Mytilus edulis: one gene and its partner. The protein of the gene in region 2 purifies or fractionates together with the protein of the main gene of each other region. This does not show direct contact. Links are inferred from orthologs where the notes say so. Each region holds a gene or a part of one and is shown on either strand. Other genes may lie near its edges. The genes, in order: enhancer of rudimentary homolog and chromatin target of PRMT1 protein-like.

Region 1 (12,070 bases), on a different chromosome or scaffold from region 2:
AATTACGCTCTTACTTGTCAGCTTTCAGTTTTATTCTAACCTATGACCTCTGTATGCATATGTAAGATTTGAACACTTACACTAAACAGCTAAGATCTGTAAGTTGGTCAATGAAATCAAACAGCTGACTGATATCATATGTAATGGATGGGCAATCTGGATTCTGTCTCTTTAGATGCTCTTCATAAATTTTACAGATTCCTGATAAAATAAAAAAAATTTAGACAATGTTTTCAGACTTGACATCAAGTATAATAAATCTGATTTGTGTAGGGTTCTAAGATATTCATTTTTTTCAAAACTTTTTTCAATATCGACCCATAAATCTAAATGAACAGTTACACTAGATTTGAAATAGAATGAGATACTATTCTTTGTTTCTTTTGCATCAAAATTACATGATTATTCTCCTCTTTAGCTCTTGCTTCTGTCAGAAATTAAGGGAAAATTTATTGAACTCATTGACAGTATTTTGTTTTCCTGAATCTTCTGGTTAGTGGTTAATAACATGTAGCTGCTACCTTTAAAAGACATCCCTGCATATGGAAGTTGTATTTTTATGGCCATTTAGCTTGAGATGTGGGCCACATAGTGTTTCCCTTTTTTATCAACATTTTGCAACAAACAGTTATACAGACTTTTTTCCTAATCCTCTTCACATATTGTCTGATTTTTAGTAGGCAATTAACATTTTTTAATATACATTTTTAACATGTATAACAAAATTTTATTTCTGAGATGTATCTTAAGCTTGCTCTCATTTATGTAATATTGATTTGTACATACATGTAATCTATTAGAAAAAACTCCCTACCTTCTAGACATTCATTCAATGATTCATAATCTGAGTATGTTCTTGTGTCTGGACGACTGTTTGGTTGTACCAATAAGATAGTGTGTGACTGGAAATATAAAAATTATTTCAAGTAAATTATATAATAAGGACAGTTCCATCGTAAACATACATGGTACTAATGTCACTAAACTTGAAACCCCTTCATTTTGATGTAGAGTATCCCACCGAAATTGGTCAAATACATAAAGTCATTTTGTGTTCTACCTGTTCAAGGTCTCACAATTTGACTGGGTACTCTATCAATGGTATGATCAGTGTTCAATAAGACTGATGGCTTGCATCGGCCAAGGTTCCTGTGGAGAAAACTGATGGTTCTGATGTTGTTTAAGCTTATTCCATTGAGACTAGGTTAGGTCTTGACAAATAGCAACTATAAGGTATTTTCCACATCAACATCTTCTAGTTAATGTCTGTGCAAGGTATAAGTTGTTTGCAGGGCTTAAGGTGTGATGCTTGTTAGAAATCCTTGCGACAGGGCACTTTCCTAGATAACTGTTAGGCAAAGCATTAAAACCTAACATTATGCCTGTGTCTATTATGAAGTGATAGATATAAAGATTTGGTTTTGAAGTTTAAAAGTAGAAAACTTATTTCAAACGGGACAGCACATCCTTGTTTTAATGGAAATGTTGTATACTGTGCCCAGAAGTTTAGAAACAATCCTGGTAAACTTATCACTCCTTTAAATAATTCTTAAAGGTTAACAATTCAACACCGTAATAAGATCATTGAATATTGTTTTTATTGGTATTAATATTGATTTCGTTAACAACAAATTAAAAGAAAACTAAATAATATTGTTATATTCATATACACATTCATGGATCAACAATCTGTCGATACCTGTATCTTAGCTTTGCACAAGGTCATGCTTTTCTCCGACTGTTAATGACTGTTTTACATTAAATCCATTGGATGTTGGATGCGTACTGATTGATAATTTAGTCTCAGATGCATGATTTTTTTATTAGTTGTTATTGGCTTTGAACTAGCTGTTTTTAACTGAGTATTCTCAGTTCAGTATTCATTGTCTTTTTAATGTTGGGATAAAAAAGTACCTGGCCACATCCACTTTGTGTCTTTGTTATATATATTTCTATTTGTATCTATCTAAATGTTCTCCTAATATAACAAGAAAACTTAAAAAATTAAGAATTAGTTCCCACCCTCTTTTGATTGAAAAGGGTAGATATTTCAGACCAAAAATTAAGAGAGAAAACAGAATATGCTTGAACTGCAATCAAATAGAGGATGAAAAACATTTCCTTTATATTTATTGCAAAAAATTTGAAAATTATAGAAAACAACTATTTATTTAATAAACTAAATTTTAATTCACAAGATCTGTGCCCTGAAAAAGTTATGAAAACCATTATTAGTTTACTTAGCCAACAAAATATTGATGATACAAAAAATATATGCCATTACATACAATTATGCTTTGAATCTTTGTAATTTTATTCATTTAACCTTGATTTGATATTTTGTCATACATTATATATATTTATTTGTGATGTAATATCATGTTAATGTGGGGGAAGACATCATTATACTTGTATTGATTTTCCTGATTTAATAAAAACTTGAAACTTGATGAGTTAAGCCTTTTTCAACTGATTTTTACAGTTCTTTCTTGTGTTGTACTGTTACACCACTGTCCCAAGTTAGGGGAGGGTTGGGATCCCGCTAACATATTTAACCACCCACTTTCTGCAGACATGGGGTAATTGAAATATGTAATTGTAATTGACTGTAATTAATTACAATTTATCATGTAATTGAATGTAATGTGTAATTGAGCATTTTTTCAATTACATGTAATTGAATGTAATTAATTACATAGCCAAAATTGCCTGTAATTGACAATTACTTTTCAATTACAAGTCAATTACATTTGAAATTTTGGATCAAAAGATTAAATCTTGTGTTTTCTCAAAAAATTATTAAAAGCAATAATCTTAACAAATGTTGTAAGCTGACAAAGAAAAGCCTTCACAGTATACTTTCTGTATTAACACAACCATGGTAGATTCTTCATTTTGTATTGAATGATAAAAAAAATGTAGACACATGCCATAATTTTAAAAGAAACCACTAGGAAGTCACTGTCTTGACCTTAATTAGTAGATTTAGATAGATATTTTAAGACATTGATTTAACATAATTAACTTTATTCAAGGACTTAAATAACCAATAAATATAACCTCTGGCTATTTGTTTTATTACAAACTATATAATGACTGTTTTTATAACAGTTATGTTAAACAGATATAAGGCTAATTAGAGAGAGATAAATATACCCCTAGGGCCTATAGGGCCAAAATAAAAAGATTGTATGTTTGCCCAAACGCGACCGACCCAAAATAAACCCGCCGACTCAAATTCTTTTTTTGACGTTTTTTAGAAGAATTTTTTTTTTTGCGGATTTTTTTCATGTTCGCTCCGTCATCGTATAAAACTTAAAGTTTGTCGTTTTTGCGTTTGAAAGTAATTGTGAATACGATTAAAAGAAAGCGCATAAGAGATGCAGTTAATCGATATTCGATGTTCTCAGTTTTATCTTCTGACTTATATGTAACAAACGTAAAGAAGTGAAACATGTGAAGTGGCACATTTTTTACGCTGTAGTTGTCTGTACTACCAAACCCTTACCTATATGTTCAATGTTAATTTCGTCGTGTACTCGAATATCTGATAAGAATATTCAGATAGATTTGTTCAAAACCGGGGTAATCGAATATTTTCAATGTTATCCTGACAGGAAATGGATCCGGAAGTTGCGAATTTACAATCTTGCAAGAAGATTTTGTTTTTTCTGAATAAAACGGAATTATTTCTTGATAAATTGTTGTCTTTAATTATAATCTTCCTTTATCATGTGAATTAGATGTCTTTTTATTCAAATAGTTCAAATTTACAAGTCTCAGTTGACAAGATCAGTACGTTGCTGTTTGGGAGAGTTTGATAAAACTATAATATAATAATCAGAAATATAATCTTAACTGAATGTAACTCCTTCTGAATAATTTAGTGCAGTATAAATATAAATCCACTTTGACAAAGAGAAATCTGGCTTTTGTCAGAAATATTTTTTTTCACATGTGCAAAAGTAAACACATGTTATGGTATCATTTTTATACAAAATTGTGAGGAAGCCTCTGGAACCTGATGACCTAAAAATAAAATAGTCTTCAGAAAACGTTAACTTTATGCAATTATATTTTATACTAATAAATGTAAAATTTCAATAGGTAAATTAAAACAATTTAATATTTTCAAGATATTAAATAAGGCCTTTTGTAATTTTCAGAGAAAACACAGAGATTTGTACATTCTGCATTCTGAGAATAAAGAAATTCAACCAACATTGACACAATGCATAAAAAAAAGTGTAAAATATTCACCGTCTGATCCAAAACAGTTAGAAATGACAAATGCTCTTATCATGTTCATAGCTGGGGATCTTTTACCACTCTCTATTGTCGAAAGTGAAGAATTTAAAAACTTGATGGAAAAAGCTGACACTAAGTATCAAGTGCCTAGCAGAAAGCATTTATCTTCGAAACTTCTACATGAAAAATCGGTTGAAATAAAAAATAACCTTGTAAATACTCTTAAAAGAGCTGAAAGTGTGTGCTTAACCATTGATCTCTGGTCTAGTAGACAAATGAGAGGATTTTTGGGAATCAAATGTAATTGAAGTAATTAATTACATCTGCCAAGTAATTGGAATGTAATTAATTACATTGGTAAAAAAAGTCAAATGTAATGTGTAATTTAATTGAAGATTTTGTAATTGTAATTGAATGTAATTAATTACTTTCAAATGTAATTGACCCCATGTCTGACTTTCTGTATGTTGTGCTTGTCTCAAGTCAGGAGCCTGTAATTCAGTGGTTGTCGTTGGTTGATATGTTAACATAGCGAAGGTGTTTTTAAGTATACTAATAAGATAAATAATTGCCTGCTGTAAATATATCCCTTTACCACCTTTTCTTTTATATTAATGTTTAATATAAATATAAGGTTTATATTTTATTACATTGTGACACTGGCCGAGGAATTTACGAAGCAATGAAAGAAAGATTTGTTACATATTTGTTTTTCTTTCAGTTTTAGTACATACATGTAAATAAGGCCGTTCGTTTTCTCGTTTTATTAATAATTGTTATACATTTGTTACTTTGGGGCCTTTCATAGCTGACTATGCAGTTTGGGCTTTGCTCATTATTGAAGGCCAGTGACCTATTGATGTTAATTTCTGTCATTTGGTCTCTTGTTGAGAGTTGTATCATTGGCAATCATACCACGTAAGTGAGTAAAAGTAAGTAAATTTTATTTAAAGTCGGGCTACATCTTCTTTTGTATATTATATCGTGTCTGTCAACTATCAATGAAAAATTAATCTCTTTTATAAAATAAGATGTTTGGAGCACTGTAAAAATGGGCCACCCTACCACTTTTATACCCAAGTGTCTGTACCAAAACAAAATTCAAGACTTCACAAGTCAACAGAGTTGTACTCTGGTGCCAAACACTTTCGTTATCACAAAGTAAGTTAAATTTGTAATATTATATCGATGTTGGACTTCAGCAACGTCGGGAAATTGTTTTAGCATTTTTTCTTTAATGCAAAATTACCATTTTGAATGATTATTGGACTTCCACACGCTTCTTTCAGCATCCAAGATGGCGCGGTTAATAAATCGGAATCTCTTTTGACTTTTCATAACAAAATCTGAAGTCACTGGAACGTTTATTGAAACGGAATAAACGTTCATTCTTCAGCAGTATAACTCGAGTTCGATTTCAATATCTGACACGACTTTCCGATTTGTTGTTATGATCTAACCAAAGAAAACGTCAAGAAATGGATGAAATATGGACACTGCTTTTACTTTGTCTTGCTATGTTAATTGGTTGTTACATGTCAGGACTGATACCACTTGCAATCACATTTTCAGAGGTTACTTTCCACATATTGACTTTTTTTTATACTAGTTTTTTTTTCAGGGAACAGCTGACAGATAATCTTAGGAGCCAAGTGAAATTTTATGAAAAAAAGACGTTTTTCTAAGCAACAGGATTTTATGATATCCCACTTTAAATAAATCACTACAAAAATGAAGTGTGTCATAACAACTGCGTGGTGACTGGTTGGGACAGTAAAAGCCATCAATCACATCCTATTAAGGCTATTTAGTAAAAAAAAACCTTCTTCATACGAATACAGGTCCGTTGGCCCAAAAGCATGTTCGAGCCCTTTCTCTTTCAACCCTTTTCACTTTCGCACCCAAAAAACGATCGCACCCTTTTTATTTGGTTTTGTCAAGGATTTGTATAGTACATTGTACATAAGACTTTTTGTGTTTAATGATTTGTAATGGAGTTTAAAATAAATTTTAATCATGTTTTAGTTAGTGAACAAATGTAAATATATTGCCTTAATTAAATGAAGTAAGATTCTGACTTTTTATTTTTTGTTAAATAAATCATTGTTTATTCTTAATCATGTTTTGGTTAGTGTATTGCTATAGTATAAATATTTTTTTTCATTGTTTCAAGATAAATTGACATTCAACATTATGTTTTTGGGTTGAAGAAATTTTAATCACACTTTGGTTATTGCATACCAAGCTAAGTACATTACATCAAAGTAAGTTATTAAAATCAACAATCATGATTTTCAAACACAAAATAATAAAACCCAATTTAGCTGTGTATAAATACCAATTAGCAGTAATCATTAATAATTAAAGGGAAATTCCGCGATTTTTTACTTATCATCTAATTATGTTCATCTTAACATAAAAAACACATTTGCAAAGTTTTAAATTTATATTCCTTCTAATAACGGAGAAAATCAAGTATTTGTAACTTTTTTGGTTGAATTCTCGAGTGGGTCGTGACGTATTAGCCCGATTTATTGAATTCTGGGAAAAAATAAAATCTGTTTAACTCTTATAGCTTATCGACAATATACGTAATTAAAAGCGCACAGCTGACGAATGGTCGAAGTTATAAACCACAATATAAGAATGAACGAAAGTGAATATGCATATATATACCGTTTTGTATTGATTGAATTAAACTCCTATAAAATTATCTCTAGTAAATGTTTTTGAATAAATTTAATTAATTATTGTTGAGATTTTTTTCATAAAATATTTATTGAACATTTTTACTGATATTGAACTGAAAATATTTCAGTTCTATTTACCGTTATTGTTTTGATAATCATTTCAATGCAACTAATGTGTGAGCAGAGTGTGTATATTATTTTGTAAAGGTCACTGTATATTTCTCGGCTTGAGGTCAATTCGTTTACCTTGTAGCTATTTAGCCGCAGGTGTGAGTTCAAGCGTACACAGGTATAAATGTTGTTATTTGGAAAGGATAAATAGAAAGGATTAGAGTATATGCTGTCATGATGTTAATACACTAAGATTAAATACACGATGAGAATAAAGATACAATAATTAAATTGTGTAAATTAATTGAAAATAAAATTCAGATTCGTAATTCCGAAAGTGTATAAAAATAAAAGGAAACAATTTTTGATTACTTTCTTAGCGGCAATTGGCGTAAAGATTCAAATATGAAGCAAAAAATAGTAGTTTTAATCTTTAATAAAAACTAAATGCAATATTACCCAATTTGATATACCATTGTACATCTGTTTGATATCATTGACTTTACCGGAATTTCTTAACTTGTATTCAAATCTGGCTGTGTTTAAATGCTAATAAAACTATTGCAATTTTAAAGTTTTTAATTGACAAAAAAATACAACATACAACATGCATAATTTTTTTTTAGTTTCTTTTTAACATTTTATTCTTACATAATTAACAATCATTTACACGAACTTTTTGTGAAAAGAATACTAATTATCTAAGCTAAGGCATTATATCTTTTGAGGATTTTTGAGGATTTTTTTTAAAATTCTATGATAATAGTTGTGCAATGTTGAACATGATAGCCGTCATTAATCCAAATAAGTAATACAGTAGTTGTAATAAAAGTTATACTTTAGTCATGCATTACAGATATTGACGAATTTATAATAGTTCGTTCATACATCGTTGTTCATGAAACAATCATTATTAGTATACATGTAAGTTTCCTGACGTATAAGAGCCATTGAGGATGAGCTCCAGAGAAATCAGACTAGTTGCGTTTCGTTCGTTTGTTTGTTGGGAAAGGAGAGGAAATGCAACCGCTTGTACAGATAAACGACAGAATTACCATACAAGCATTTATAGTCAACACAATCAGAAAGAGTTCCCATCGTTAGACGGGGAATATGAAGGCTTCCAAGAATGAACAAGTGACATGTCTAACTCTGAACAGTTAGAGAACAGACTATCGACATCGAACGCTTGTTCTTGATATTTGAAACTGTATGCATATATATACGTATACGTTTATGATATAGTGATGAGTTCTGACAAAAACTAAATTCCTTCATGGTTATATCTTGCCATACGTTTATATTGGTTTGTAAGGTGATTACTCAAAATCGTTATTTGAAAATCCTGTTTGTGAGATGTAGATTCATTTCAATACAGAAATTTCGTCTATATATTTCACAAGTGTATAACACGGAGAAGCTCTGAAGGTTCATTACTCCCATTTTGTTTGGGTGTGAACCATCGATGTTTACAGCAATATCAAGGAATAAGGTGATGATGGTAGAAAGAACTATGGGCGTCATGTGGCAAATATTACATGCATATCGGACAATGAGTTGTCAATCTGTATGAAAAGTTTTCCAATACAACCATATTATTGAGAAGGAATGTTTACATGCTATACTCTCGTACTAGTATTACAGGGTTCTTGTGGCGTTCACCTTAGACACACATCGTTTTAACGATGTTTAAAAAAAGACAGAACCAATTTAATGTCATATTTCCCTATTTTTTAAATATAACTAAAATTCTTTTATCTGACAAGAATATCCCTATTTAGCGAACAAGTAATTTATTCTTTTTTCGGTTATTGAATACCAAGAAAGAAAATAAATCCCGAAATTAATTTGAAACTTTGATACTCAAAAGTTTCCCAGCAAAATATTCACATCCCCTGGGGATAATTAGTGTTCGTCCAGTGGCATATATAACAATTGTGATGACGAATTCCTTCCTTTGTTTGAGAACAATCTTATTGAAATATAAATCTGTGATTTTCCTAGGTCCACAGCTTCAATGAACCAAAGCAAAAGTTATACATCGACCTGTATTTAAATCAAATTGGTTCTCTTCTTCTTTTGGTATACAACTGTAGTCTATCGACATTCGATGATTACATACTGTTGGCATACGTTGGCTAGTCTATTTACAACACTTTTACCCCTATTTATTCAAAATATATGTTTTTTTCTTATGTTCAATGTATACACGTATATATTTTAAATTGCGCTATAGTTCCGTAACTTTATATCCAGTCGTATAAACGAATCGTCGGCAAGTGCGTACATTTTTTTAAATCAATATTTCTGGTCTGTTCCAATCTGTCCTTCACTATTGACAATGACTATATATTACATTTTCCCAAATTCACCCTTGGAAAAAATATTTAAATAGATTTTAATTTCATCAAATCTTATTTTTTGGGTATTATTTATATATTATGAATTATATTCTTTACACCAGAAATGTTATTTATAAACAAGCGTATGAGTTTAGTAATGACAAGTAAGACAGAGTTGTATATTATACATCTGATAGTTCAAAATGGAAAGTTATAAGTTATCAGCCGTGTACACTGATCAATACCTGCAGAAGTGAAACGATGCATGAACTTGCAAGCCCGACAGGAAATCGCTTGAATACCTGGACGTGTCACCTCACACCCCTCACAATACCTTTGGAAGTAATACCTTTAGCCATGCTGGTGATCAGATAAGGGAAGATCAAAATATATTTGAAAAAAGTTTATTACTTTAAAGAATTATGAACACTTATTTATGATTTCAACTTTGACTTTTCACCTAATTCCAATATCAACAGTTTAAAAACAACAGACCATGGTAATTTAAAAAAAGTAAGAATATTTTCCGTATCAAGTTAGTTAGTCGTATTAAACAACCGTACGATTGACAAGATATCGACACGCAATTACGACTACATCGGTTACTGTAGTTTTGTTTCTTTGTGGTTTATAGACATATCGTTTTTATTCATCGGGAAACAAGACAAGATGGCGGATACTCTAAATTTAAAATCGATGGTGATCGCTTATCTAGCGGAATAAAACTTTAATATCTATGAATTTGAACATTTTTATACAGAATGAACATAATATCAATTTTTGATTTTTTTGCGAAGTTTCCCTTTAACATTAAATAAGTATTCATCAAATTAATGAAAAAGAAAACATATACATGTAATAATTCCTCAAGTTTTATTCAGGAAAATATAATTTATTTCATAAAAACATGTACATATAAAAAGATGTCGAATAATTCAACTGGAATTTGAATAAGAATTGGGTGAGAGCGTGTAGGGTTGAACAAGGTACATGTAGGATGCGACAGTGTATTGGGCTTGAACCTACCTGTAGAAACCTTTTCTTACAGAGCGTCTTTTTACCACAGAATACCACAGAAGTTGAACACTCAAAATATACCACAACAGAACTACAAAAATCACAACAGAACTACAAAAATCACAATAAAATTACTGAAATATACCACAGAACATTAAAATTACTAATTTTATAAAATGCAAATCTAATGATTCAGAATCATATTATTTCTTTGATTCCAGTTGTACACCAATGACATGACGATAAACTGGATAGGATAAAAATGATCATAGCTTTTTAGTTTTTTGGCACATTTTTTATATTTGGAAATTTGAGACACTTAACTAATGCATTGTAATAATAAAAATCTGAAATAAACATTTATCAAAATAGTTTTGAGCTTAAAAAATTTACCTCATGGTTTTTCACATTCGGGGATCAATATACGCTTTGAATACGGTATATTGAAGCTGTACTTTGTCCCCACTTGAATTATTTTTTGAATTTAAGTAAATTTTTTACTTAGTCCAAATAATTGTGACGTCTTGAAAGGTTATTTATTTTTTTACTTTGACGTCAAAGCCAAAAAGAAAATCAAAAAAATTTAAGATGTCATAATGATTTGGACTACTTTTAACTTAGAGGTAAGAATCAGTTGAAAAAGAAACGGAAATACTGAAGTGTTTCCTATGTTGGTCCTGTTGTCAGGGATTTTAGTAATGACATCATTTTCATTGTAAACACTATCATTCATCATCAGGTAACAAAAAAAAATGTTTTTCATATCAATGATTAACTTTAATAAAATTGTTACTGTGCTCTTTCTTATATTATCTACAAAAAATGTAGGCTGATAGATATATTATATTTTACTCAAAGTCATTTGACAAATGAGACATGAAGAAAGAAAAAGAGATTTCTGCGCAAATGCAGGAAATATAAATATTAGAAAATAGAAATATTAATAATTTTGAGATCATATTAAAAGTGTAATGTATCAAGTCTGACCATTCAATGTGTTCATCTCATTATTTTCTGTTCCAGAGATCAATTTTAAATTTGACATATTTATTAACATTTTGACATCAACCATGTTGACAAATATATTCTTCATGTTCTTTTGTAGGAGAAGTTAAAACTAGTGACAGTGTTTGGTGCAGGTCTACTGGTAGGAACAGCTTTAGCTGTAATTATACCAGAAGGAATACATGCTATGTATAGTGCTGGTCCAGGTTAGTAGATAAAAAATGTGATTATTGTGCTTATTTTTTTTTTTTTTAATCTAAATGTATTCATCAACAAGGTTAAATAGTGCGTTTGGAAAAGAAAGATTTTTTTTACAGTGAAACCCTATGGCCAGAAAAATATAAATAACATATTTGGAAACATCTTATGAAGATAGATTCTACAATGTCCAGCTCTTCCATGTCTGTAACTTTTTAATGCAAATATAACAAACATATATCAGGGAAATCATTTGATTATTCATGATTATTTGTAGGTCATCACGATCATGAGCATTCTTCGACTGAAAAAGAGGCAACAGAACATAAACATGAGGCTGGCTCATCACATGACCATCACAGCCATGGAATGGAAGATAATCATTCAATAATTGGTGTTACCTTGGTAATAGGATTTATATTTATGTTGTTGGTTGACCAAATAGGAGGATCACATATG
Region 2 (12,642 bases):
TTGTTTGTATATTTCTTTCTTTCTGAGGAGTATAGATAAGTTCTATTATTGATGTGGTCTGTTGTACTGTGTAGTAATTTTGAAAATTCCAGTTATCAATTTTTATGTATTTCTAGGAAAGCCCTGGTCAAACTCAAAAGTCCTTATAAACTCTTGAATATAAAAGTGTAAAGTGGTTGCAAAAAAAACATATCATGCATCATTAAATAAATAATTACCATCTTATCAAATTTCAGTGCTTCTTTCTCAGCGATTTGTGCTGATCGTTCTTTGTTCATGTAAGCTGCCTTAAGTTTGGATTCCAGCTCTCGAAGTTCAAGACTACAAAGATATATCAAAATTGATTGAACAAAGCATGAAATGCAAAGGAGTTCAGTAAGACCCCTTTTTGGCCCCACAATTAAGCAGTTTTGCAAAATTGTGAAAATGTAATCTTTTAGCTATTTTTTGGAAAGTAGAATGCTTCTGCTACATAAATATGTGCTATTTTTGACAATACAATGCACATATATCGTGTACTAGCATCATAAAGTCATGCTAAATTACTGAAATCTTCATAATTATAGCATTTTAGTTAAATTTTAGATGGTTTCCGTCTTAAATGAAAGTGGCCGCATTCGTGTTCATTCATAATATTGAAATGTAAGTTGTATTTGATGATAATACATAACATATATAAAGGTTGAGGATGAACACGGATGCGGCCACTTTCATTTTTGACGAAAACCATCTGAAAAGTGACGTTTTTTGGCATATTTGATAGATTTTTCATATTTAAGCTTCAATCGGAGCGTTTTTAATGACTGAATCAGTTAAAATATTTAGCATAAACTAATCGAATCAATTAAAATAGACATTTAAGTGTTTAAAAAGTGTCCTAAATATCTCGTTAGACGAAACTGAAATTTGGGGCCAAAATCGGCCCTTACCAGACCTACTCCTTTCTTAGGTAAGAAAAAGATGACCAGTGTAAAAATCATAACATGATAAAATTCATGGTTTTAAATTACAATTTACATCATAGTGCAGATGCAGATATTATGATTATCTCCCATAGCACAAAATATACTTAAATAATTTCTTTTTTTTTGTATTCAGATATAGTTTGTAGTGCTCTTTAGCTAGTAGCTTGAAAAATGTCATACAAAATAGTGAAACTGGTACTCTTACAAAACAGTTTTTTTTTCAAATTTGCAGTGAATTGAAAGACCTTAACAGATCTGCATATTTTTATTGTGTGTGTCATACATGTATCTGTGACAATCTTTTTTAAAATGATGGAAAATAAATTTGAATAGATGACATCTCATTGCTGTGACGATAAATTTTGACAAGATCCTCAGGCCAAATAAAAATATATGTGTGGTTCCAGTTACATACTTTTAAAAAATAGGGTCAGTAGGTCGGCAAATTTTTTTAATTTTTTTTAATTTTTATTTTTGAATGTCAAAATCCGGAAAAAAATTGTGTGTTTACCGAAATTGTTTCCGGTATTATACACGCCCCAAACGGAAGTCCACCATTTTTACATGTGTTTGGTTGTAAAATAAACAGTCATGATACGTTTTTAGTTAATTTTGTTGCATTCTGTTATGAATTGTTGCATTTTAGCCACAACAGAAACTTGTGATGGAAATTCAGATGACAGAAATCTATGAATTTAATTATTTTAATTCACAATCCTCAAAATTTGATCGTTTGAAAATTTATTTTTCAGAAATGAAAAAAAAAAGTTCTTGGGTCGGGGGGTTTTAACTAGGGTTGGTCGGGTTACTGGAACCACACATATATTTTTATTTGGCCTCAGCAAGGTAAGAATTTTCTGATATATAAGAAATAGAGCAAAGAGAAAGACAGGAAATTAAAAATGAAAACTTTAAAATTGAGAATGAAAATAATTGACCAAATGGTATAATAATCAACCAAAGAATATTTAGTCAACATCTAGAATATTGACAGCTTATAAAGTCACTGTAAATTATTTGTACCTTGTTTCCCTAATTTGTTGTCTCATTTTTTCATCTCTCATTCCTTCTAATTTGTGTTTCTCCATTTCCTGAGCCAATCTTTCTTCTTGTAACATTTGTTCTTCTCTGATCAATCTATCTCTCTGTGCCTAAAATGTGTATGTAAATAAAATACAGTATATTCCTTTATTTTCTTGGTTACCAATTTTGCGTTCTGATGATTAATCAATGGATATGAAACAATGTCAGTAAATCAAAATATTTCCTTTTCAAGACTTAAAAACTTTTTATTCTATAACTTTAAAATATAAAATAAATTAAACATGTTTTTGTTCATACATTTTTTGTAACAATACATATTAAAGGTGTAAAAAAATTGAAACTGGAAGTGAACGTCCTGTATGAGCCCATGGGCCAATACAGCTTTTTTTGCCCTGTTCCTAAAGCAATATTAACTCTTGATTTATATCAACGGTGGAATGTTTTCAGGATTGCGCAGACTGATTTGCTCATATCATTCAATAATCTGTGGTTCCAATGTAGTATGTGCTTTGTTTAATTTTTACCACTAGCCATGGTCTGCCCTATATTTTAGACTTAGTAGCTTTTACCAGTTGCATTGACATTTCAATAAAATATACATTGTGTATGTGCATAAAGTAATTTTATATTACTTTTTTTGTTGTTATGAATAATGTCTGTGAGTTAAAAAGATCGTGCGATCAAAACCCTTTCAACAGGTTACTAAATAATTGTTTTCAAATGTAGTTTTTTTTGTAGGAAACATGTAAATGTAATGAAAGTTATTCTTATGAAAAGGTATTACAACTAAGTTTAGCACAAACCTTGAGAATTGTGTCCTCCATATCTCTCTCTTTCTGCTCCATCATCATTCGTCTGATGTAACGTTTCTCTGAGAGTTTTTCTTCATTACTCATATTTGCCTCCAACAACTTCTGGGTGCCCAACTGACGGATGGTGTCTTCCCGTACTTCTTCATGCCTACGGTAGTTCTGTAACTGCCGTTCCCTCTCAGAAGCAGTCAGTCTCCGAACAGTTGTCTGAAATATGAACAATTGATTTTTAATAAAAAAAAAATATGAAGATTTATCATAGCATTACACTAACATGACTAAGGAGTTCAGGCTCAATTTATTTTTCATATTACATTAGAAAACAAAAAATATTGCATCGTATAAGTTCTATTCTGTTTCAAAGTGATGCAATTTTTCCTTTAAAAATGCCTTGTACCAAGTCAGGAATATGGCCATTGTTATATTATAGTTCGTTTCTGTGTGTATTACATTATAACGTTGTGTCGTTTGTTTTCTCTTATCTTTGTGTGTAAATTCACATTGCGATAAGACGTGTCACGGTACTTGTCTATCCCAAATTCATGTATTTGGTTTTGATGTTATATATATATATGCAGTGATTTTGCTAGCGCTCGTCACTTTCGTATTTTACGAAAGGGTTTTCTCATTGACGAAAGTATTTCAAATCAATTTCGTCACTTTAATTTTGAAAGTGTAAAAAAAAATTCGCAATAAAAACTATAAATCTACCTGTCTTCATGTTTTTGACAAGTTTATGACCTCCAGGTAATTAACATTTTCAACAGGTGTGATTACAACTAATCCGCTCAGATGGGTCACTTATCCGTAATTTATTAATTAACCCCATAATTGAATGACCATCATAATTATTTCCCCAGGAAAATCAGTCAGTCGGCATTTCAACAACCAGGAGTATAATTTCGTCATTTAATCAAAAATGTAACAATGCCGGACAGTTCGCATTTGAATTTCAATATTTCCCAAACGATCACAATCTGAAGTTAGTTTATCGTAGATTCGTCATTCGAAGGCATTTTCGTCATATTTGATTTAAATTTTCATCAAAAACTTTCAACAATTTCCATTTAAAATAAAGAACTTTCATGTGTTTATTCAAAAAGTTCACGAGAAATGTTTTAAACAGGTGCTTCCTGTATTGTGTTCTACGCATGCGTGAAAGTATCCTTTTGACTATATAGACATTAAAAACGTAAAATACGAAATCATTTAGAATCAATTAAACGAGAGAGACAAATATATATCTCTTACTAAAGGAATTTAAATCGAAAAATAATAATTTCCTGATGAATCCGGACTCGTTTTGAATTTATTATCCACGTGTCACTTCCCGTTTTCGTTTCATTTTAAAACCGAAAGTAGTAAACGTGATCTATTGTTGATTTGTTTACAACCTCCTTTCAGTCATTATAATCGTTCCAAAAAGGATATAATACATTTCCATCTTGATAGAAATGATATCCAAATATCGACTAAGATGTTTTATAAGGATAATGATTATGCAGTGAAATAATCATTGCAAATTGATTTCTGCTGTGATTCCTTGTTTAAAAAAAATAGAATCCAACTTTTGTTGTTCAGGAATGACCCCTGGAATAAACTGAAGAGAAATTGTGATTCCATGTCAGAATCTTTCATAATAATAGCCAATACAGTCAAATCATACAATAACTGCCAATCATGCTGGTGCCTCAATCCCTTAAAATCTGACTAAGTCAAAAGATGAAGCTAGTACTATACATCATTGTTCTATTGCTTATACACAAAATAAGGTTGATTTTAATAGCGCGCAAAAGTGACTAAAGCCCTCAAAATCCTAGCTTAAACCCTGTATATATGTTATATTTGTTATTCTCGTGGGATTTTGTCTATGTGTGTTACATTTTAGTGTTATGTCGTTGTTCTCCTCTTATATTTAATGTGTTTCCCTCGGTTTTAGTTTGTTACCCCGATTTTGTTTTTTGTCCATGGATTTATGAGTTTTGAACAGCAGTATACTACTGTTGCCTTTATTTACACTGTTAAACTTTTAAATCTGTAATGCACATGTACATGTATATGGTTACAATTATGTCTTAAAAACATTCTTTGTTAGAAACAGGACTTTTTAATTATTTCAATTCAAAGAAAAAAAACATCGCTATGAAATAAATCAAACTTTATGATTCAGATTGCCTCTTTTTTTTTTACACTAATGGCGCCATATGTATCTAGATCACAAACCATAAAACATAAACTTTTTTGACTGAAAGGTGTAAATACAGCACTGGTGTGAATACCAATCATAACAATTCAAACCATTTATACAGCAAAGGAATGATAAAAATGTGCCTTGCAACACGATTATAGCATATGCATGTATATTGAACATTTATAAATCCTTCGCATAGCTAATTCTAACGGAAACTTGACTGAGCAAACATTTGTAATAGACCAGAATTGTATCTTTATTTGTGATCCCCAACAGTAGAACTATTCTTGTCATTCAGTGTTGTGAAGTCTGCTTACTATATGTACAGTAAAGGCTAGTGCGCCGCTCAATTGTAACGTCAGTATAGTTGTTGTACGTCATTTAGATTTCAATACATCATGTACATTATCAAACTAGCAAGACGTTTATTTTTTTACTTCATGCCATTGTACAAAATTTAGACACTACACACAATATACAGTAACAACGACATGGTCACAGATGTTCACATAAAATTTCATAGGAAAATATTGGACAGCACAAACATGACAAAGACAAAGTAAATTCAGTGTCCTGTAATGGCGAACAAAAAGTGATAAGTTGAATTTTATTCATGACAGGTCTGACAAACTGTACATGTGTTGCCAAATATGCAACAAAAGAATAAAATCATCGTTAGGCAACGTTGGACCTTGCACTTTTATAATGTATGCATTGTCTACCTCAGTTTGAATAAGTCATGATTTTTAAACTGGATATTATTGTGGATAGTACACATAGCTCTAACCATAAACCTAACCCGGAGCTAAAATATCCCATAACCTAACCATAACCATGAATGAACCTTCACTTATTGGCCTAAAACTCTAAAGTATAATGGTATATGGACCCTTTTTGAGTGGCATTCTTTCAACTTTGACTTTATCTTTGGTAGTAAATAATGAATTTGAAAGTGCCAGCAATTTGAAATGTAAAGGATACGATGTAAGTCTATATTTCTAATGTCAAATTTATTCAATTATTGCTCGGACTTCTTCAAAACTCTTACCATTTTGTTGGAATGTTCAAAGTTCTTCAAGAGCTGCACACTGAATGTTGTTGAGCCTAGAAACAACCGTTGCTATGGGTAAGTTAGATTGGTGTGACACAATATTTTGATATATTTTTTGCGATTAAATCGAATCAAAATAACACAATTTATTGATATTTTGACGAATACAAATTTAAATGTTATTATCTATCTCAGAAATTATTAGTTTTTGAAAAATTCAAACAATTCTAATGAGAACATTTAAAAACACCCCTATGGTATTTTGTTGATTCGTCTATTCTCTTCGGTATCACAGTTTACCAAAATTTTGAGTTTTAAAATTTTATATTTCATTTTCCTGTTTAAAAAAACATATTTTAGTAAGAACATAAATAGTCTAATAAAACAATTTCACATTTTTTTTATCATTATTTAGAGCCGAATAGTTCTAATATTTTATGAACTTCCGGTATCGGGTTGTTGACGTTTTATGTTTTGCAGATTCAGAATCATCATCCAAATTCATCGAAGTCAATTCGAAACTTTAGCAGATTTTAACAAAAAATTATGTATCCTTATCTACAAATTCATATTTTGGTTCATGTTTTACAGATTACAAAGTTGATCATGACTAAGAAAATCAAATAAGCCGACTCCGATGGCAAAAGTTGTCGGTGCAAGTTGTCAACCCTATCGAATTACGATAGGGCTTTAAACGGTCTCCCTTTTCTCCACAAAGGGTTATAACTACTCCCAATTGTTTGAAGTTGATCAACCCATAAGAGATACATTGGCAATAAAACATTTATCGTGCAGAAATAGGGTATCGGGATTGTTCGCCCTAATAACATGTTCGCCCTGGGTACGTTCGCCCTGGGTTCGTTCGCCCAGAGAGTCCGTTCGCCCTACTAAAAAATATTGATATTCAGAGCATTGAAGTTGAAAAAACTTATTCAGATATTTCTATGGTATATATTCTTGAAATTTATGGAAACAGGGAAATATTTAAAAGTTTATGGCTTGTATAGGATCATTAATTGTTCAATGACAAAATAATTCGGATCACTGATTATTGTGATACTTGTCTTTTGATGGATTATTAATAAAAATCAAACGTTTTGTTTTGATAAAATATTCAGCTTGAAATTAATAAACACAATGATGTACTAACTGTAAATCATGAAACGGATTTACAAGTTCATTATTATACTCGGAGACAGTCCTAGTCTCAGTTATACTGCATACATTCATGATTGACTGAATACAATTATTTTGTTAACAAATATCAATAAAGAGAAATACATCATGTATACCAATTCTACTCTGTAAATCAAAGAGAAAATGATAAAATGATTGCGGCAATATAAATATTCTGTCAATTTGTTAACAAACTTTAACATATTTTGTTCAAATACTTAAAATTATGCGACTGGACAACAAATAGAAAAAAATAAAAATCTGGGCGAATGGACCCTGGGCGAACAGGTATCAGGGCGAACGGACCCGGATTCCAGAAATAGATACATAGATTGATTGAATAATAAACAGTAATGGATTTGGGGTTTCCAGCACACATTTTATATTCCCAAGGCAAAAAACTGAGTAGTGTTATGAAAGAAAAGCCTAGCCTATGCTGTCATAAAACTTTCTAGAACTTGGACTCAAAAATCAACCAATCTAAATACTGGTTTTAGTCAAATTAGTGTTTTGTTCACAAATTTTTAGTCCGAGATTACTCTGACGTCCAACGGCTGTTTTGCCAGACAAGCTTGGGCCGTGCAACGTCAGAGCTCGTCCCATATCAAAAAGTGGGTATTTGCCCACCCAAAATAGATGCGCTGCTTCGTCGCTTCTGATGCCAACTGACGGCCTTGGAATTATATAAATTGGGCATCAATCTATTCATTTAAGAACCAGAATGAAAAAAAAACATGTATGGCAGGTCTACGACTAGCGTCAAATATACAAACACATAATTTTTTTGTATTTTTGCCTGAAACAAGTATGAATTAAATATGTTTTACTTCTAGTCATTTCTAATTTCCTTAACAGTTTATTCAGATAATTAAAGAAAGATGGCGGTTCCAGCTAAGATTGTTCTGAAGAGTACCACTAAGATGTCTTTGAATGATAGGTGAGAAGGAGGAGGAGCATGTTCCTGGCAGAGATTGCCTGGAAAAGTTGGAAGGAAAGAAATTTAGAGAGAATTTTTTCTCTCTATCAGTCATTTCTCTAATGACCAAAGGTCATTTCTATTGACCAAAGGTCATTTCTATTGACCAGAAGTCTTCTCTGTGGCTAGATGCCTTCTTTCAAGGCTAGTGCAAAAGAGAATGACAACAAAAAGCTATGCAAGCCAAAATGAAAAAATGCCACTGCACAAATGTGCAATTGGGCTCAAAACCTGATTTTGCCACTTAATATGTTAAATGAATCAGATTGCATGCTTGCATGCTAGTCTAACAATACACATGTTTTACATGTATGGTTAAAGTAACTAGTTATATCCTGTTGGCCACAGGTGAAAAAGGACAACAACTAGTGTCAAAGAGGCTGAAATTTGACAAGTGGCAGAAATTTGACAAGTGGCAGAAATTTGACAAGTGGCAAAACAGACAGAGTTGCAATACATGGCAAAAAGTCTTGAGAAAAGCAATAGTAAACCACAAGCACCGAGCAGTGCCATTGGATCATGTGGATAGCAAAATAACAAAAATCCAGTTACTATATTGAACTTTTCTATGCATGAATGTACAAGACTAGATTTTCTAGATTTGAAAAAGCTTCACTTTAGATATTTTCTTGCATGTTTTTTTGCTAAAAGTTAATGTCGTATATTAAAGTAATAATGGTTAGAAAAATCCGATTTCCTATTTTAAACTCATATATATAAAGTATAGTCGAAAGCAATAATCAAATGACTTTTCCTGAAATTCAGTTTGAATTTGTTTTTCTTATGTTTAATTAAGGTAGCACAATACAAAGATTTGTTCACTCCCAATCGGATAACTTTAAACTGATGTAATTCATTTAATCCTTCTTTATATATTATAAATGAGGTACCAAAAGAAAGAAGAAAGATTCATCTTTCAAATGGTGATAATTTCATTATGACATAATTATTACATAATTAATTATTATGTAATAAGTTGCTATATTGTGATGTCCACGCTTGAATGAATTTAGCGTCTTTGTTCTTCATAGCATCCCAAATTATTTAACAGATTCTGTTACAACACAGCTTGACCTCCAAAACTGTGTCTCAGATTTCCAAAAACATCAATAGAACAAATTTTATACCCAGTTGAATTTAGTGGTCTCTTATGAATTATTGTTGCAAATTTCATTGTAGATTTATGAGAGAATGAAATACAATAGGAAAAATCTGAGACACAGTTTTGGAGGTCAAACTGTGTTGTTCAAGAATCTATAAAATATTTTGGGATGCTATGAATAACAAAGAAGTTAAATTCATTCAAGTATGGACATCACAATATGGCAACTAATTACATAACAATTAATTATGTAATAATTATGTCATAATGAAATTATCACAATTTGGAAGATTAATCCTTCTTCTTTCTTTTGGTACCTCATTTATAAAATTTAAAGAAAGATGAGTGGAATTACATCAGTTTAAAGATGTCTGGTTGGGGATGAAAAATCTTTGTATTGTGCTACCTTAATTTGACAATTAATTTTGAATTATATTTTTAGACAAAGTGTAAAGTGTAGTATGGTGTCAAACAGTCGAAGAGAAATTAATTTTAATATTTAAATTTGAATTATTAATTGAAAATTATTAAACAGTCTTATGAAAATACTTTTCTTCTGAAGGGGAAATAACTCTTTTCGTTGATATTTTTCTTCAGTTATTTTCATGCAATGGTCACATTGATTTTCTTTCAAACCTATGGGATCAATCATGGCTACTTTATTTCATCTAAGTCGTAAGTTCTATCCAATAACTTCTCTAGTGGTGACATTTTAGTTCCTGTTTTCTGTCACATCATTCTGTTGTCACGTGACCTCTTTCACATGATTTCTACTATCACATGACCTTTCACATGATATCTGCAGATTTTATGTCAAATTTATACATGTGAAGTTCATGTTCTGTCTAATTTGATGTTCTATCTTTTATTATTCACTTTTCTATCTCAAGATCAGTTCGGCATCTCGTTAAATGTTGAAATGATATCTAGCGATTTGTATCTCAAGATCATTTCGGGTGAGACAGTCTCTAGCATTATAATCAAAAGTGAGTCTCTCACAAATTTTTTTTATGAGCAAGTCACATTTTAACCAAAGTTTCTGGTGATGATCTTTCTGTCTGATGCTCATACTTTGTAAAGAGTTTTATGTCACAAAATTTTGCCTGGTGACATGTTTTGTTTCACAAGACATTTTCTGATGATCTCATGCCATCAGATATCTTTAAAACTGCTCTCTTGATTTATCATTATTGTTCAAAGTTGTTTCCAATTTCAGTTCGTGTAGGTATTCTTATTTTCATACTTCAATGTTAGTGGATCTTTTGTCCTACTTTTTCATTATTGCTGTTTTCAAACATTTTAGAATTGTGTATGGTACAACTCCAGGCCAAGACAAGCTGTACTTTGACCTATTATTGTTAACTTTTTTTGGTTTAAAGTTATAATTTCTGACACAGTAACATATTAGAAGAATAATTTCTGACACAGTTAGTAACATATTAGAGGAATAATTTCTGACACAGTTAGTAACATATTAGAGGAATAATTTCTGACACAGTTAGTAATATATTAGAGGAATAATTTCTGACATAGTAACATATTAGAGGAATAATTTCTGACACAGATAGTAACATATTAGAGGAATAATTTCTGACACAGTTAGTAACATATTAGAGGAATAATTTCTGACAGTAATATATTAGAGGAATAATTTCTGACACAGTTTGTAACATATTAGAGGAATAATTTCTGACACAGTTAGTAACATACTAGAGGAATAATTTCTGACAGTAATATATTAGAGGAATAATTTCTGACACAGTTTGTAACATATTAGAGGAATAATTTCTGACACAGTTAGTAACATACATTGTATTAGAGGAAAAACAGGAAACTAGTGTACAATGTTTTATGATATTAATATTGATGATAGTTTTATAGTCATGACAATGTTACAAAAATTCTAATGCCTCATAATCCAGTTTCTGTATGGTGTCAGTATGTAGAAGTTCTCAAAAGTGTCTCTTTTTGTGTCTCTTAGTCTCACATTAATTGTTTTATTTATCCTAAAATTAACAAGTCTTCCAGCTCTTTGAAAAAGTTATTGAAAGAGATTTGCCTGCCTCTTTGCACCATGAGTGATCTATAGCTATATCTATGACATGAACTGCTTACCCTTTTAGATAACATTTTGTCCCTTATAATGCCTAGAGTAATCCTATAGGCGGATCCAAGGGGGGGGGGTTCCGGGGTTGGAACCCCCCCCTTTTTTTTGGACGATCAATGCATTTGAATGGGAGCATATAGTTGGAACCCCCCCTTTACTCTGAGTTGGGAACCCCCCCCTTTTTTAAATAGCTGGATCCGCCCCTGAATCCTATAGTTTGTATTGAGTTGTTTGTATTTCTTTGACCATCATGACCATTGCAGTTGAATATCTTTTCTTTTTGTCAGTTTGTTTTCTTGTGTGCATTACTGTCGGAGTTTTTTCTTGTGTCGATTTAAGTTTCTGCTTTAAAACTTTGAAATCTTCAAATATTTCCTTCATTCAGAAGTTGCATGACAAAAACCAGCCACAATGACATACATGTATGTACAAAAAATGGCAGCATAACTATAAATAACATTTCTTTCCTTCGTCCAACCAAAGATTTTCCACGATTCAAGCCACTGTGAGGCAACCAGCCCAGCAAGCCAGTGTGTCAAACATCCGGGCAAAGATGGCAGCTCAGCACCAGGCAACGGCAGCCAACAAGAGACTCGCCATGCAGATGGCAAACAGGCCAAGTGTACAGGCAGCATTGAAAATCAAAAAGGTAAAAAAACTTCTCACTATGACAATTTCTGAATTAGAATTTGCACAAAATGCAATGAAATCCATGCTGAAATGGACAGTAAGACTATTGAGCTGCAATGCATTCTATTTATTTGTGAAATTAGATATAACAATGATTAAAGTGAGGTTCACATTAATATAGATTTAAGGTGGTACCCAACGCTTTAACTAAAATTAATTTAGATCGTTTAATTTTCTTAAAATTTTGACAAAGTATTTACTTTGACCCTTTCACAAAAATATAAAAATTTCAAAAAATTTGTTTTATCAGAAAAATTACACTGGTTATATAGCAGTTTGACAAACACTTATTTTGATCATTGAGAAGCTTAATATTCCATTAACAACACAACATAATTAAAACGTTAAGCTGATTTTACAGAGTTATCTCCCTGTAGTGTTAGGTACCACCTTAATGCATCTCATGATGAGATAAAAAGTATCTACCTATTTTAATAAATGCTATATAGATTCTACCATTGATCAACAGACGAGGAATATCCCAAATCAATACTGTCCCTGCTTAAACCTCGTCTTGGGACAAGAATT

What was found.
Region 1: the proteins of chromatin target of PRMT1 protein-like (region 2) and enhancer of rudimentary homolog purify together in Homo sapiens (affinity purification with mass spectrometry; 3 studies listed by BioGRID and IntAct, with this or other methods). This does not show direct contact. The link is inferred for Mytilus edulis from reciprocal best matches to the Homo sapiens genes CHTOP and ERH.

The regions. Positions count from the first base shown.
Region 1 is NC_092346.1:72,439,072-72,451,141, forward strand, and holds the start of enhancer of rudimentary homolog, read right to left. Parts: upstream 5,606-12,070; 5' UTR 5,501-5,605; coding exon 5,498-5,500; intron 903-5,497; coding exon 815-902; intron 202-814; coding exon 81-201; intron 1-80. Other genes in the region: zinc transporter ZIP9-like, read left to right, coding at 5,727-5,822, 11,514-11,619, 11,889-12,070. UniProt on the Homo sapiens protein: May have a role in the cell cycle.
Region 2 is NC_092354.1:21,884,079-21,896,720, forward strand, and holds the start of chromatin target of PRMT1 protein-like, read left to right. Parts: upstream 1-6,472; 5' UTR 6,473-6,611; intron 6,612-8,103; 5' UTR 8,104-8,117; coding exon 8,118-8,176; intron 8,177-11,093; exon of another isoform or gene 11,094-11,481; intron 11,482-11,640; exon of another isoform or gene 11,641-11,907; coding exon 11,908-12,073; intron 12,074-12,642. Other genes in the region: meiosis-specific nuclear structural protein 1-like, read right to left, coding at 219-321, 1,989-2,116, 2,813-3,028, 6,061-6,063. UniProt on the Homo sapiens protein: Plays an important role in the ligand-dependent activation of estrogen receptor target genes. May play a role in the silencing of fetal globin genes.